Linked DNA regions of Caenorhabditis elegans. The protein of the gene in region 1 purifies or fractionates together with the protein of each later gene. This does not show direct contact. Each region holds a gene or a part of one and is shown on either strand. Other genes may lie near its edges.

Region 1 (7,775 bases):
GATACAACGACAAACTGCCTAAGTTCGGCCATGTCGAAAAGATTTGATCTAGAAAGGTGATTGGGATTGTATCTAGCTTAACCATTTCACTTAGAATAATGTGGTTGACATTTCGAATATTTGAGAAATGGTGAATCTTTTGTTGACTCATTCCTTGCTTCCAAAAAAATATTATATTTGATTTGAGATGTGTTTGGTGGAGGTTCAAAATCGTGTTTCGAAGCATTTCGTGAACTACTTTTAAGGTTGATCCATTGAAATAAAATTTGATTATACTGCTGGCTTCATGGCACGGAGTTGCGCTGAAATGCAAAATTAAAATTATTTACTGTGCTGGCCACAAACGGGGCTTCGTGAATTTTGGACTGTGTTAAATTAACCATAACTTAAAAGCTAATCATTATTTTCGAAAACGGTCAACTAACAAAACGTTGGTCATTATGTTGTTGACATTGCCTGACCGATATTATTTTACAAAAACTGCCCTGAAAAACGGTACAGCGACAGACATCTGGCTGGTCGATTTTTGACCTCGAATCTGAAATCGTCTGTAACTCAAGAAAAAATCGCTTCCATGAGAATAATTGAATTAATAACATGATCTTCATAAACATTTATGCCCTATGCATATAATAACTTTGTCCTCAACCCGCCGGGAAGTGAATGATATACAACTAAGCCTATATATTCCAAACTGTTGTGGATCATATTTCATAAAAATGATAGGACTTTTCAGAGTATTGTTTTCAGGCGTGAAACGACCTACATAACTATGATAAATTATTGATTCTTCAAAAAAACAAATGAATAATCAAAAGCAATCATTATTTTCGAAAACCGGCAACTAACACAATGTTGGCCATTATGTTGTTGACATTTCCTGACCAATATTATTTTACAAAAACTGCCTTGCAAAACATTACAGCGGCAAACATATGGCGGGTCGGTTTTTAACCTTGAATCTGAAATTGTCTGTAACTCGATAAAAATTGCTTCCATGAAAATAATTGTATTAATGAAATAATTTTTACTAAAGATGGAAGCGATTTTTTCTTGAGCTACAGACGATTTCAGTCAAAAATCGACTAGCCAGATGTCTGTCGCTGTACTGTTTTACAAGGCAATTTTTGTAAAATAATACTTATCAGACAATTTGAACAACATAATGACCAGCATTTTGTTAGTTGACAGTTTTCGAAAACAACGTTTAGTTTTTCAATTATGGCCATTCAAACAAAGCCAAAAAAAAAAACGAAAAACCGTTTGTGCATATCTTTTTGGCCAGCATTGTATTTACAGTAAGACTTTTGTATTACATGTGTAATATGGACATATTGGATACCCTATACTTACAGTCTTTCGGTCAGAACTTTTCAAAGTACAGTTTTTGAAAATTTTGATTGAGCTCGGCTGCGCTTAAGAGAACTCAAAAACGCTGATAATCAGGCTAGTATATTTTCAAAACGTAAGGAACTGACCAGTAAACCATTGTTTGTCCAATTTTCAATTTAAACCACTTTTCTTGCTGAATAATGTCTTCTCTTGACGCTTCTCTAATTAAAAACGATAAGTGTTCACTTAAATTATTAATGTCCTTCATTTGCATGACGTAAGAACGTTCAACGGATAAATTCGAACACGAATGGATCATCGACGAGTATCCTTTTTTTATTGATTTTCTGGCCAACGTTTCAGTTTTGGAAGAGCAAAATGAAAAGTTAAGCACGTCGATGAAGCTCATTTCCTGAGGAATTTGCCTACGGATCACAAGTGGAAAGGTGAAGAGGTTGAAGGGCATTCTGAAAAAAAAAACTATATACATTATGTAATAAGAGGAAATGGTAAGCAGCAACTTATAGAGAAAAGAGAAAATTCAATACAAAAGTAATTGTTTTTTTTTGAAAAAAAAAATTGTGCATAGTGATAGCGATAGTGCAGGATTAATTATCAATAGAATTGTATAAGTGCCAGGCTCATAAAAAACAGCGATTGAAAATAAAGCCATTGAGTACAGAGCAAAACCGATTAAAGCCTCGATGTTTTATTCATCTTGATTTGAACTTCAACATTTTCGGGGAAAAAAACGATAAAGCACCATGAATATAACATTCATACAACATTTGGTGGTACCTAAAAACTTCAAAAATATGGAGCTGTGTGCTGGCCAACCGAGGGGTCAACCATGTGACGTATTGCGTCTTCCCACCGATGCAGTCTCCCGCTGGTCTATGGAATTGCGGGAGGCGTCAACTTGCAGGACCAATTTTTCGCTGAAAACGGTTAAAGGTGGAGTAGCGCCAGTGGGGGAATTGCTTTAAAACATGCCTATGGTACCACAATGACCAAATATCATAGTAAAAATTAAAAAAAAAATTTCTAAATTTTATATGATTTTTTGAAAATTGAAAAAATCTCGAATTGCATCAAATTCCTATTTGAATTACCGCCAATAGTTCGATGTTCGATGGAGCGCGCTTGCATTATTTTAAATTTAAAATTTCGAATCTAAATCTTTGAAATAGATTATTTCAGGCTCAACGTCGTTGAAAAACGTGATATCTCTGTTTTCAATTATTTTTAGTGAACAATCTACATTTATCTTGAATTTTTCGATAAATCTCCAGTAAAATTACTCAAAAAAAAACATGAAAAATCAATTAAAAATAAGAAAAATTAATAAATAAAAGTTAAAATAATGCAAGCGCGCTCCATCGAACATCGAACTATTGGCGGTAATTCAAATAGGAATTTGATCATTGTGGTACCATAGGCATGTTTTAAAGCAATTTCCCCACTGGCGCTACTCCACCTTTAACTAGCAACATGTATAGATTCTTCTTATGAAATCTAATTTGCAAAAATTAGAGCGGTCTGATGGACTAGATTTTCTGAGCACTTTTTTTTTACGAGTCTACTGTTCAACAGAGTGAAATTTAGAATTGAAAGCTTAATAACTGCCGAGAGTTTATAGGGCCCCAGGCCCTATAAACTCTGACTAGATCTTGCCTACCTGTTTTTTTAGACAAAACACCATCTGTCCTAAATAACCGTACCACCCTTTTGCTCAGCGAAATGACCCCAGCTGCAAATGCGCCCTAATTTCCAGCCAATATAAAATCGATATAATCTCAGTGGGGTCTTGCTGTGCCATTCTCGTCGTTACACCTGCACACTATGTTAAATTCAAAACCAGTAAGCTACCAAGTATTGAAGTTCATATTGAAGCATTTGGATCCAAGTTTGAGGTGAGTATTTTGGCTTGGAAAAGTTACGTATTTAGAGGGTTGAGTTTTGAGAATGACGGAGTTTTCGGAGTTGAAATTTTTGGGTATAGAGGAAATTCATCCAAATCACAGCTCACATTATGTTTCAAGCTTTTTGCTCAAGTGCCACACAATTTTTTAATACATAGCTAAACCTACCTAACTATAAGTATATTTCAGAATCCAACTCTGCCTCGTCTGCCCTTCAATTCATACCTTAGAAAAATCAACCCCTTCCTACATCCACTATCTCAAGATAACAGATAACAGCGTGACAGTTAACCGGGTAACCTGTCAAATTACAGTTACCGATAGAAAAGTTGATTATCAATTTGATATCAATCAATTCCCAAGTATCAGTGGTACAGTCGAACTAAGGAATAGTAGAAATAATCTGACCAAAACTATGAAGTACCTTCTCGACAAACTCTTTAAAGGAAGAACTGTGAAAGTGGGCCAACTTGCAATTTCTTGTGAAAATCCTCTACGGGTTCCGTTAGCTGCCAGGATCAATGTCAATGTTTTGGAGGTTTTTGATTCCCGGAGCTTGTCGGCTGCTAGTTCACTAATTGCAAACTCTTGTCTACCATTAAGCTTGATAAAACTCCCATTTAAAAGCCTTCTGAAGACTAATAACAATCCAATTACATCAATAGTAAACCGAAAAACTAAAAAATGGCACTTCAAAGCTCCAACCACAGCTCCACACAACCTCAGGCGGGTACTGACGTTCCTGCAAAATCGGAGAGTTACAACTGCACATTTCGAAAGGGGACACTTCTGCTTTTCAATTGTTATAGAATACTTTATGGGTGATAGTGATATAGAAAATGGAACTTATTATACATTTGACACAACTAGGGGAGCTGTATTTGTAGTTATGGAGAGGAGTAGGAAGAGGTATAAAGCGATGTTGGAAGATGGGTAAGTTAATCTAAGGTTGAATATTTTCAAAAAAAATCTAAAGTTGAATACTTTCAGATCTTCTCGACGTTCCAATCAGCTCACCATCAAGAAGAACAGCACCTCGAAATTGGTTATCAGCAAGATACAGCAGGGAGATGCATGGATTTTGGGTTTCAAAATTGAGCGGCGAAGACTTTTCCCTACTTTTTTTTGAGAACAACTAATCGTTGAAAAAATGAAAGAATTCCTATGAAACTGTTTTGTCTTGTGACTTGAGAACTATCGGATTTCTGTGTTTTTGGAAAAATATCACAGCGGCAGACATCTGGCAGGTCTGATATAGTTTTCGTTTAGAAAGATTCGTACTTTTTACAACTTTTCTAAAACCTCTCCATCCCAAAAAAGAAGATTTTGCAAGGGTCGAGCCACTTTCAGAAGATACTCGATCAAAAGCTTCTGCATGCCAGGTCAGGATAATTCTGAAGCTAGAGATCTGGTTCAGGGACACCTGATCAAGTTATTTGACCACGTCCAGCTGACCACCACTGTGCTGCTGCAAATCTGCTCTAATTGTCAACGGGTCGAAAGAATTACATTGGGGTTCTCTTGGTCATTCTAGCCTCTTACCAGTTGATCCTAACATTGAAATGCTTAACATTTTCCTAGGCTGAAACCAAAATTTCATCAAAATCACCCTTGAACATAATAAAAAATAATAAAAATGTGATGCCTCGTTAGGGATCGAACCCCTGGCCTATTGCTCCATACAATTTTTCCTCTTAGCTCTTCCCAGTTGAGCCAAAAGCCCCTCTTAAAAAATCAAAGATCAAGTTCCCGGGGTAAAATTTCCAGTGGAATTCGAATTTTTAGTCTAAAATTGACTAAATTTCGTATCTAGACCAGTATATTTCATATGTATATTCATTACTCAAAAAAAAAGAATTAAAAATATCAGTTTATTCATCGGCTTTCCACTTTCATTTTCAAAATCCACGAATTTCCATTTTGAAACTTCTTGATTACCACTTTGGAGGTCCCGTTCAAGTTTAATGTGATCCGATTGTTTCCTGCTTGTCTAAGTGAGAATTAACTTTAAAATTTAAACAAAAAGTTTCAAAAAAAAAACTCACTGAACCCTGCTCCAATAAGCTCTCCTAATATTCACCATAGCCTGATCTATCTCTTCCTGTTCAGTCTGAAACGTGTACTGAGTTCCGGGCTCTCTTTCACGTCTCATCCAGCGCCTTAAGACTTTTGGGTACCACAAATCTAGGAGCCATATTACAAGTTCCCCTTCACGTCTGACAGGATCGTTATTCACATTGAATCTGAGTCTAGTTGGAGCAACTCGCACGTCAAGCCTTACTTCATTTGGATCTTGCTCCATTTCTCTGGCATCTTGAATATCATATTGTTCGACGTCAAATTCTTGGTCAAAAACAGATAATAAATAGGTAGACCCGTTTATTATTATACGATGGTCAGTAAGTTTCAGGTACCTGATGTGCAGGGGTACCGACTTTTCCAGGTTCTGAATGGAAGGGCATCTAGTGCAGAGTTGGAATCTAAAATTTAAATTGTTTAATAGAACAGAAAGCTATTAATAATAATAATAATTAATAAGTATGCCTATGACCTGGTTGACCTTTTTTTCTATTTTTTTAATTGACTAGCAGGCCCTGCGGGCCCGCCAGTTGTAGGGGGTGTAAGGCGAGTCCCCCTGCCGGGCGTAGGTTCTCGGCTTCGCCTCGAACCTGTTAGAGGGTTCGTGAAATTTTCAGTGGGTCAATGTCTTCTTGATTTTCGAGTTCGGTTTGACCAAAAACAGTCGCACCCGATGAATCAGTTAAAGCTGAGTTTTGATTGATTGAAGTTTGAGGAGGATTTATATGGGGGGAGACGTACCCATATTTTGTATAAAATCGAGTATTACTATATAATATTCGAATCCCGAATACTCAAAAAAAACAAAAATGTTTGTCAGTTGGTAGAATTGAACCCACTACCAAAATTTCCACAGACATAAGCACTAACCACTCGGCCATGCGGGAGAGAGCTTAAACTGGAAGTAAGGAAGGTGAATTTCTGGAGGGAGTCGTCTTTCGATTCCGCTTTCTTCAATAATTACATTTTGAGAAAAGGCGTTCGAAAACCGTTTATTACTGATATGTCAGCGGGAAAACGAATTTTTGAAAATTTTATTACAGGATTGTACTCATTATTGATTTCCCAAAAAGGAGACGTACAGTTGAGGGCTATATCTTGTACACAGACAGATGTATAGAAAAAAACAAGTTTTGGCCTGAAAATTAATAAAAATAATATCTCTTGGCAGAGTATTTCTAATGCGACGAAACTTCATCTTTCATTAAATAAAATCAAAAACTATGAATCAAAAATACATGCCGCAAAAGTTTAGTGGAAAAAATGTTCAGGAGACCCAGGAAACCACTCCCCCCAGTACTAAATTTTTGAATAATTTTTTTCTTGAAAAATTTTCCCACTGAACTTTTTACAAATTTTATATGTCTCGATGCGTCTTGATGAGACCTACACGTCAATTTTTGGAAAACTAAGAAAATTGAAAACTGACCGAGTTATGATTGAAAAAGTAGATTCACGAAAATGGAAAAGTGTGCAAAATTTGGCACTTATTCGTCTTGCTCGGCCGACTCATAGAACTTTTTTCAATTCTGAGTTAAAAATCGTGTTCAGCGTACTTTTGTACGTAGAGTAAACAAAAAAAATATCAAAAAAGATGAAGTAGAACTTGAGATAATGACGAAAAACTACTTTTTCGGAAAAAAAAAATTTTTTGGCAAAATGTCATTTTTTGGCCTTTTGTTTTATCACAACTTTTTTCCATTTGCACTTATGAACTCAAACTTTTTTTCAAAAAATCAGTCTCTCTGAGTAGTATTTTGCACATGAGTTTGAAACAAAACAGAGCAAAACCCGAATTTTAATTCAATTAAAACATGCTTTTTTGGGGGTAAAAAGAGCAACAAAAAATTTTTTCAAACAGGGGAAAGCCGTCCTGGGCTCAATTTTGCTCCGAACTTAGTGCCGTTTTTTGCTCCACCGTGGGGCAAAATATTTCTAGTAGGATTTCAAATATTAGAGCATGAAGTCACACGGTTCAGGAGTTGTGAATGAAAACGAAGTGTGACATTTTTTCGCAAGCCAAAAAAAACGCGAAAAAACGCGAAAAAGGGGCGGAGTCGCCACACTCGGCATTTATTAGAGGCTGCTTGGCAGAAAAAATCATGGGAAAATTCTATGAATTTTTTACAGTTACTTACATATTCCGTACCTCCTCTCATAGTATTGCACCCAGCTATTTCAAAAGGTAATAACCCTGTTCGATTAAATGATATCAATAAATTTTCAACTGCACATCTGTAGAAAAAAATCTATTAATTATTTTCTCAGTTGCCAATTTTTAATAAAACAAACGCCAATTGAGATATGAGCTGTCGAAGTAGTGCAATACTATTAGAAGAGCAACGGTATGTTTTCTGTATATTCAGGTTGTCATTTATGGCATTCAGTCATTTTTAAAACTAATATGTATCAAAACTCACCTCAAATTCGGCTCCAAATGCT
Region 2 (6,959 bases), on another chromosome or scaffold:
ATGAAGAAACACACCGATACGATTCTTGTCAGAAAATCTGGTTTTGAAAATAAAAGGATAGTGAAAGGAAGAAAAGAAGAAGTAGGTTTTTGAACACACGGGGGTGACAGAGTAGGAGGAGATAAAGTGAGAGAGGAGAAGCCCTTTCACATACACTTTCTCTCAATCAAGCGACCCATTGAAACCGACTGTCCGGAAATTGTGTTAAGCATTCGGAGAGATTGAACAAGAAAGAATAGACGACGTCGATTGCAGAGCTCTTTGAAAAAATGAATATGTAATCTGGATAGATTGGGTAGGAGAGTGCACAATTAACTCAATTGACAGGTGAGTTATCTTAATTAATCCGATCATCGGTGATTGAGATGGTTAATTTGAGTTAGTTACGCAATAAGGATTACGTTTGAAAAACGATTTGGTGCTCGCCGGCTTATCTTTTAGCGAGATTATTATTTTCTGCAAAATACAAGTGATTCTCTTAGAGTCTTCATTACAGAAATGTATGTCCTTCTTGAGAAGTCTAGAAATTGTGGTACAACGCTTTTGTAAATTTTCCTGGCTTGCTCCATAGTAAAAAATATTTTTTGACAAATTTTGTAGAAAACTAATTTATAACTCAAACTAAAAGTGTTTTTTTTAAATAATAGTTGAGGTACGTTGAAAATAGTACGGAAAAATTATATGTTGAAACTGCAACTGTATGGACAAGCCATGCATAGCAATTAAAGTCGAAATATTTTGGAAAGGGAGATATACGATCGCAAAATATTAAAAAATTCCTCAAATGCTCTGAAAAAATAAAGTTCCAAAGGAGTGTTTTTAAACATCTCAAAGAGTCAAACTTTTCAGTTAGAAGAAATTATGAATCTTGCAAAATAGGCATATTACTAAAATATTTACAAGAATTTTATCACCTCTTGGTGAAAGTTCAAAAATATTAGTTTTTCCAATTTGAAAAAGTTCCCTCTATATGCAGAATCCAGCAAAAACGTTAAGCTTATAAACGTTACCAGTGAAATTGATTCCAAGAACAATTATGACTAAATTCAATAGATAAATTAATATAAATAAGTATTAAGGTATTTTGAAAACAACTGAACACGACCTCTAGTCTGCGGTTTCGAGCAAAGTATCAAATTAAGAAACCTTTGTGAAAAGTAGATGCAAACGATAATATTAGTAGGAAACTATAGAAAAAGAAGAAGAAGCCGAAAGTGTCATTCAAGTAGAAACAAAATAAACATAGAATTTAGACCACCAGAACACATCGAAAAGAGAGCAACTCAAAACTTTCGAATGGCTTGTTTTATTTTCGAAAGAAGAAAAAGAAGAAGTTGCAGAATAAGAAGTAGAATCTCCATGAAAACATTCATCATCTACGACTATACGAGGGCAAGCTTGACCCAACAATACAAGGGACAATGAACCCCCGAGAGTTCTCGGCCTAAAACAAATTCCGTTTTTTTTTTCTGCAAGAGCTGGTAGTTCCTATGCCGACCAACAAATCTGCGTCTCTTTAGAAACGGCGGCCATCGGCGATTAACACAAAAATGAGCGCGAAACGGGTGAGAGTGGAATTTGCATAGGAAAGTGTCTGCCCATTATAAGATATCCGGAACAAGTTTGAGGGGAAGAAATTCGAATGCAATCAAGTTTCCACGACCTCTTCCGAAAACGAACGAATTATTATATTGCCATTCGGTTTTGTATGGAAATAAATGACAGATGACTGGAAATAAATGGACAGGTGGCAGTAGTTGTAGTAGTAGTACTAAACGGATGAAAATTGGAAGAGGAAAAAATGAAGAAGGAGAAGGAAAGAAGGCGAAGGACGCTTTCGACAACTGAACCCCATGGGAAAATAATGCGTTTTAGGATTTTTGACACAATTTTGCCTTTTTACTAGCTTCACTCATGGAACATTTAGAATCTGTAAGCAAACATGCCAAACTTGTTATTCAAAACACAAAATAAATTATAAAAGAGGCATGAAAAATTCAGTTGGTAATTCCAGAAATGGTGTGGTGGTAGCTGATAAAAGAAGGCATTCATTTTCAGAACATTCATAATTGTGTTAGAAATAAAACTTTTAAAAACGTGATGTTTTTCAAGACGGAAAAAATTTTTCGACACGAAGTTTTTAATCGTTTTCATGCACAAGTTTCACTTCGAATAATGTCAATACTCCACGGCTTCGGAGCAGGTGTGTGGCAATAAAGAATGTACTTCAATCAGTAATTTTTGAATCAATACAATTTCAAAATTTTATTCAACTATTTACAATACATCACTTGAGTGCCTAGTTTTAATTAATACAATCCGTTGTTTGTCCAGTGTATTGATTGGCCAAATTCAATGTTCCAATATCATAAGTTTTGCTTGGAGTCTTTCCAGATGAAACATAATTATCTGGAATAGTGATTCCAATCTTTTTGTAGCAGAGACCATTGTAATTGCATTTGTGATAAATGTTCAATTTTGGATCAATAGTTGAAATTTCAGTTTTTGATCCAGATAGTCGGAATTGTCCATTGGCATCTGAAGTTGCTTCTTCCAAAAGTACATCAAAGGCTGGAAAAAATTTTAATCAGAAACTAAGTTTCAGATTCATAACTTACTTGATTCTTTTTCATAAAGCTTCAGTTTAACTCCAGATGCTGGTTGTCCATTACAGATAACTCTTCCAGATACAGCAACTGACTGTGTTCGGCCAACACCCAATAGAGCATAACTTGTAGAAACAAGAGCAAATAGCAAAAATAAAGTAGTCGGGGAAGAGCACATTTTTAAATTTGAACTGAAATTTTGTCGTCTCAACAGTTATTTATATGGTAGAAACGGTAGGTGTTTGCTGAAGAAAGGAATGAAAAAAGAAAGAGACATTGCTATTTACACAATTACTATTGGCACACAGTACGAAAAACCATTTATTTTCAAATGTTAAATACTCAAATACAATTAAAGTTTTCGGTGGTTTGTCGCTGAACTATATCGGTTCCTTATTTACTTCTTAGTTTAAACAGTCTGTAGATTGGCCTGGGAAGTTGTTGGCCAAGTTCAATGTGCCAATGTCAAAAGTTCGTGATGGTTGACTACCGGAAGTGACGTAGTCCTTTGGAATGTGAATTGTGAATTTTTGATCACATAGCTAAAAACAAAATTACCAAAATATAAAACAGTGATTCTGAAATGTCAATAAATAATTTACCCCGTTGTAATTGCATTTGTGATAAACATTTAGCTTTGGGTCAATAGTTGTGATTTCTCTTTTCGATCCTAACACTCGAAATTGACCGTTCGAATCAGTACGCCCCTCCTCCATCAATCGATCGAAAACTTGAAAAAAAATTTTAAATCAAGCAATCAAAATATAATTGTTATGCCATAGTGGTAGTGGATAGTAGTTTGAAGCAAGATAATCTATGATATTGACCGATTTTCTGATAAAAATGGAGATTCATCAGTCGGTTGTGTTAGAGCATTAAAAACGTATCCTTCATAGAATTTCAAGAACTGTTTTTTTAATTTTTATTGAGAAAGTTGCCCTTGCTATTAGAGTCACTTGTGATTTTGAGAGATTATTTCTAAGACTCCAAACAACTGGATTTTTTTTTCGAATTACAATATAAAAAACATTTGTATGTATAGAAAAAAAATTGTAGAAAATGATTGAAAAGCGACTTACATATTTCGTTTTCATACAATTTAAGCTTCACATCAACCGCAGGTCTCCCGTTACAAATCAATCTTCCTGATACAGCAGCTGATTGCATACTTCCAATTCCTAATACATCCTTTGTAGCAATTGGATCGTTTTGTCCAAGAACGAAAACGCATAACAGAGAAAAAACTAACATATTTATGAACATTTTTCAATCCAAACTACGCTTTTCTCTCATATGTCAGGACTATTTAAACTTTTTTGTTTCACATTTTTGAAATGGCAAACATTGTTGCCCATACATGTGTTAAGTGATTTTTGTTTGAGAGAAGATTTTTCTGTGTTTAGAGACACTTCTCGAGCTCTCGTACTTTTGGTCTTTTGGTGGTTTTTGTTGATGAGTGAGCAACACATGGTAATAACAAAATGGTAGCTAAGTCAACATAAATTTCACAAATCTCATGTTGAGTCATAAAACACTTACAGACATTTCTTGAACAATTTTCAAAGATAATTCACCTTCGCACTGTGTTTTCTGCTTTGTGAGCACGCAGGTTTACACGCAGGTTAAAAAATCGATTTTTTTTATTCACAGACTTCAAAAAAGTGTATTACTAGTCAGAGGAAACACGAAGTATTATAAGAACTTTATCATACAAATTTTGCCAACCGATAGTTGCAGGTTGACAAAAAATTCAGCTTGCAGAAACCGGCAACTTGTGAACCAGTGGTGATGTCAACATCAAATACATATATTATTTGTTTTGAAAAAAGCATTCGAACATCATGGAAATTGCAAACAACTCACTGTAAATAAAAAAGTGAATAAATTTTCCTTAAAATACTCTGAAACACAGGTACTAGAAAATTAATGTTAGGCAATTGGCAAAAGAACGACAAAGTCCGGAAAAGTTACCGAAATATTTAGACAACCGACAGTTTCGTGTGAATGAAACTTTTCAGCACCTTCGGCGATAATGGCCAGTTGCTTAAACTTTTGGTTGCCGCATAGCCCAGCTATGGTAACTTTGAGTAGCCCAAAAAATTGAGCCACAATCAATATTACAATTTTTTGAATTATCTTACAGAATAACTGTTGTCTGACAAGAAACGCAGCGGCTGAAAAAGTCAATAATACTTACTATTAAATTCAATTATTCTACAAGACCTGCTCATGAATAGTTTATTTGAAAATATGTGTAATTAAAAGTAACCAAATCAATCAATTAATACAATCGGTAGATTCTCCTGGATATTTGTTTGCCAAGTTTAGTGTTCCTATATCGTATGTTCGTTCTGCTTGACTACCACGGTTGATATAATCCTTTGGAATTTTTATAGTGAATTTTTTGGAGCACAACTGAAAATTCACATTTAATTTAAAAAATTGACAAACACACAAATCTAACCCCATTATAATTGCATTTGTGATAAACGTTGACTTTTGGGTCAATCCTTGAAATTTCTCGTTTTGAGCCAGAAACTCTGAATTGTCCATTTGAATCTGTACGGCTTTCTTCCATGAGTCGATCAAACACTCAAATGTAATATTTTTTCGGAAGGCAATTTCATAGTAGAACTTACGAATCTCATTTTCATACAGTTTGATCTTAATATTTGTAGCTGGTCGTCCATTACAGATTAGTCTTCCAGAAACAGCTACAGCCTGCATTCTTCCGATGCCGAGAAAGTTTTTGGTAACAATTTCATTGTCTTCTTGGCAAAAGACCAATGTCAAGGCGACAAGAAGGGAAGCTAACCTTATGACCATGACGTGTTAAACTATGATTTTCACATGTTCATTTTGACTTAAATACGGTTTTGTCTTTGCTTTCACATGTGCAGTTAAGTCAATATTGGGCGGAGGTTACCTACAAAGTTAATACGATTTTTCTTTGTTTGTTTGAAAAGAAAATTGTTGTTGTTCATCACAGTTTCTCACTTTTTGGTCTCTATTTGATATGAGGGATGAACAATAATAATCCACATTACACAGAATAGATAAACGAATTTGAAAATAAAATCGAAAAGCAGAACTCCAATTTCAAAAAATGGAGTGTTTGAATGGATTTGCACAAAAATCGACTTGGCGACAATTTCTTCGGCCAAAAACCTCTGGAACGAATCAAATCTGCTCGCTGTAGTATGACGGGAACGCTAAATTTTGAGATTTGCGTTTTGGGCAACATAATTGACGCGCGAAATATCTCGTAGTGAAAACTACAGAAACTCTTTACTAGGTTACTGTAGCGCTTATGTCTAATTACGGACATCGTTTATTTATCGATAAAATATCGAAAGAAAGCATAAAGTATACGAAAAAACTAAAGAAAATTAAATATCGTTGCCACAATTCGAGCAGAAAATTGTTTCGAAAATCGAGCCCGTAAATCGACACCAGCGCTACAGTAGTTCTTCATAAAATTACTGTGGTTTTCGCTACGAGATATTTTGCGCGTCAAATATACTGCGCAAAACGCTTTTCTCGTAATTGTGTGTTCCAGTAATGGAATAATTCTTCCAGCTACTGTTTTAAAATCTTTCTGTCATTAAGATTTCAACTTCCTACAATTAAAAACAACTATTCAAAGTTATTGCTGATTGTGAGAGCATTTGACGTTCCCCCATCTAAATCAATCATCAGAGCAATCTCGACCGCTTCTCGTGTCACTTACCCAAAGAAAAGCCGCGCGAGAAGAAATGTGACCTTTCGATTATTACACAGTAATCGTCGTAGCTCTCTTCCGTCGTTCCACATCTCGTACAAAAAATAAACTTTGAGGAAAGAAAAAAAGAATTATGAATTCTTCCTTTCACTTCAAAATGGATGTACTTCAGGACTTTTTTGATGAATTGTTGATAGCTAAAAATGGGTCGTTGAATGTGCACTTTTCGAAATGAGAAGACATCTGTCGTTGGTTCATGTTGAAATTGCAGCTGTATTCAGTTGTCTTTGGTACCATCAAGAATTCTGTTTCACCACCTGTTTTGAATTGAAATGATGTAAGGAAAAGGGTCATTTGGGTTCAATTCTTCTGTTTTATAGCTCCTTGTTTGATTGAAATAGATGATAAACATTTTATGTATCCATTTTTCTCTATTGAATAGAATTTTTTTCATATATATTCAAAAGTTTTCAGTCTAACTATAAGTTTAGGTAAATTGCCAGATTTTTGAGAAAAATCAGAGAATTGCCGCAGATGCTAGCCCGCTGGAATGTTTAAAATACAAACGAAATTGAAATATAAACTTGTATTAAAACATTTTTTGGTAGACTTCCAAAATTATGATAGGTGAA

The links. The genes of interacting proteins can lie anywhere in the genome.
Region 2: the proteins of fbxc-14 (region 1) and ttr-27 fractionate together in Caenorhabditis elegans (co-fractionation; one large-scale study listed by BioGRID). This does not show direct contact.

What each region holds. Positions count from the first base shown.
Region 1 is NC_003280.10:971,129-978,903, forward strand, and holds fbxc-14 (F-box domain-containing protein), read left to right. Parts: upstream 1-3,170; 5' UTR 3,171-3,174; coding exon 3,175-3,245; intron 3,246-3,443; coding exon 3,444-4,187; intron 4,188-4,244; coding exon 4,245-4,383; 3' UTR 4,384-4,417; downstream 4,418-7,775. Other genes in the region: C32B5.15 (F-box domain-containing protein), read right to left, coding at 1-302, 1,479-1,822; fbxc-17 (F-box C protein), read right to left, coding at 5,130-5,244, 5,300-5,734, 7,754-7,775.
Region 2 is NC_003283.11:12,901,300-12,908,258, forward strand, and holds ttr-27 (Transthyretin-like family protein), read right to left. Parts: upstream 2,800-6,959; 5' UTR 2,785-2,799; coding exon 2,619-2,784; intron 2,572-2,618; coding exon 2,306-2,571; 3' UTR 2,251-2,305; downstream 1-2,250. Other genes in the region: ttr-28 (Transthyretin-like family protein), read right to left, coding at 3,011-3,148, 3,209-3,336, 3,686-3,869; ttr-29 (Transthyretin-like family protein), read right to left, coding at 4,884-5,021, 5,071-5,198, 5,246-5,432.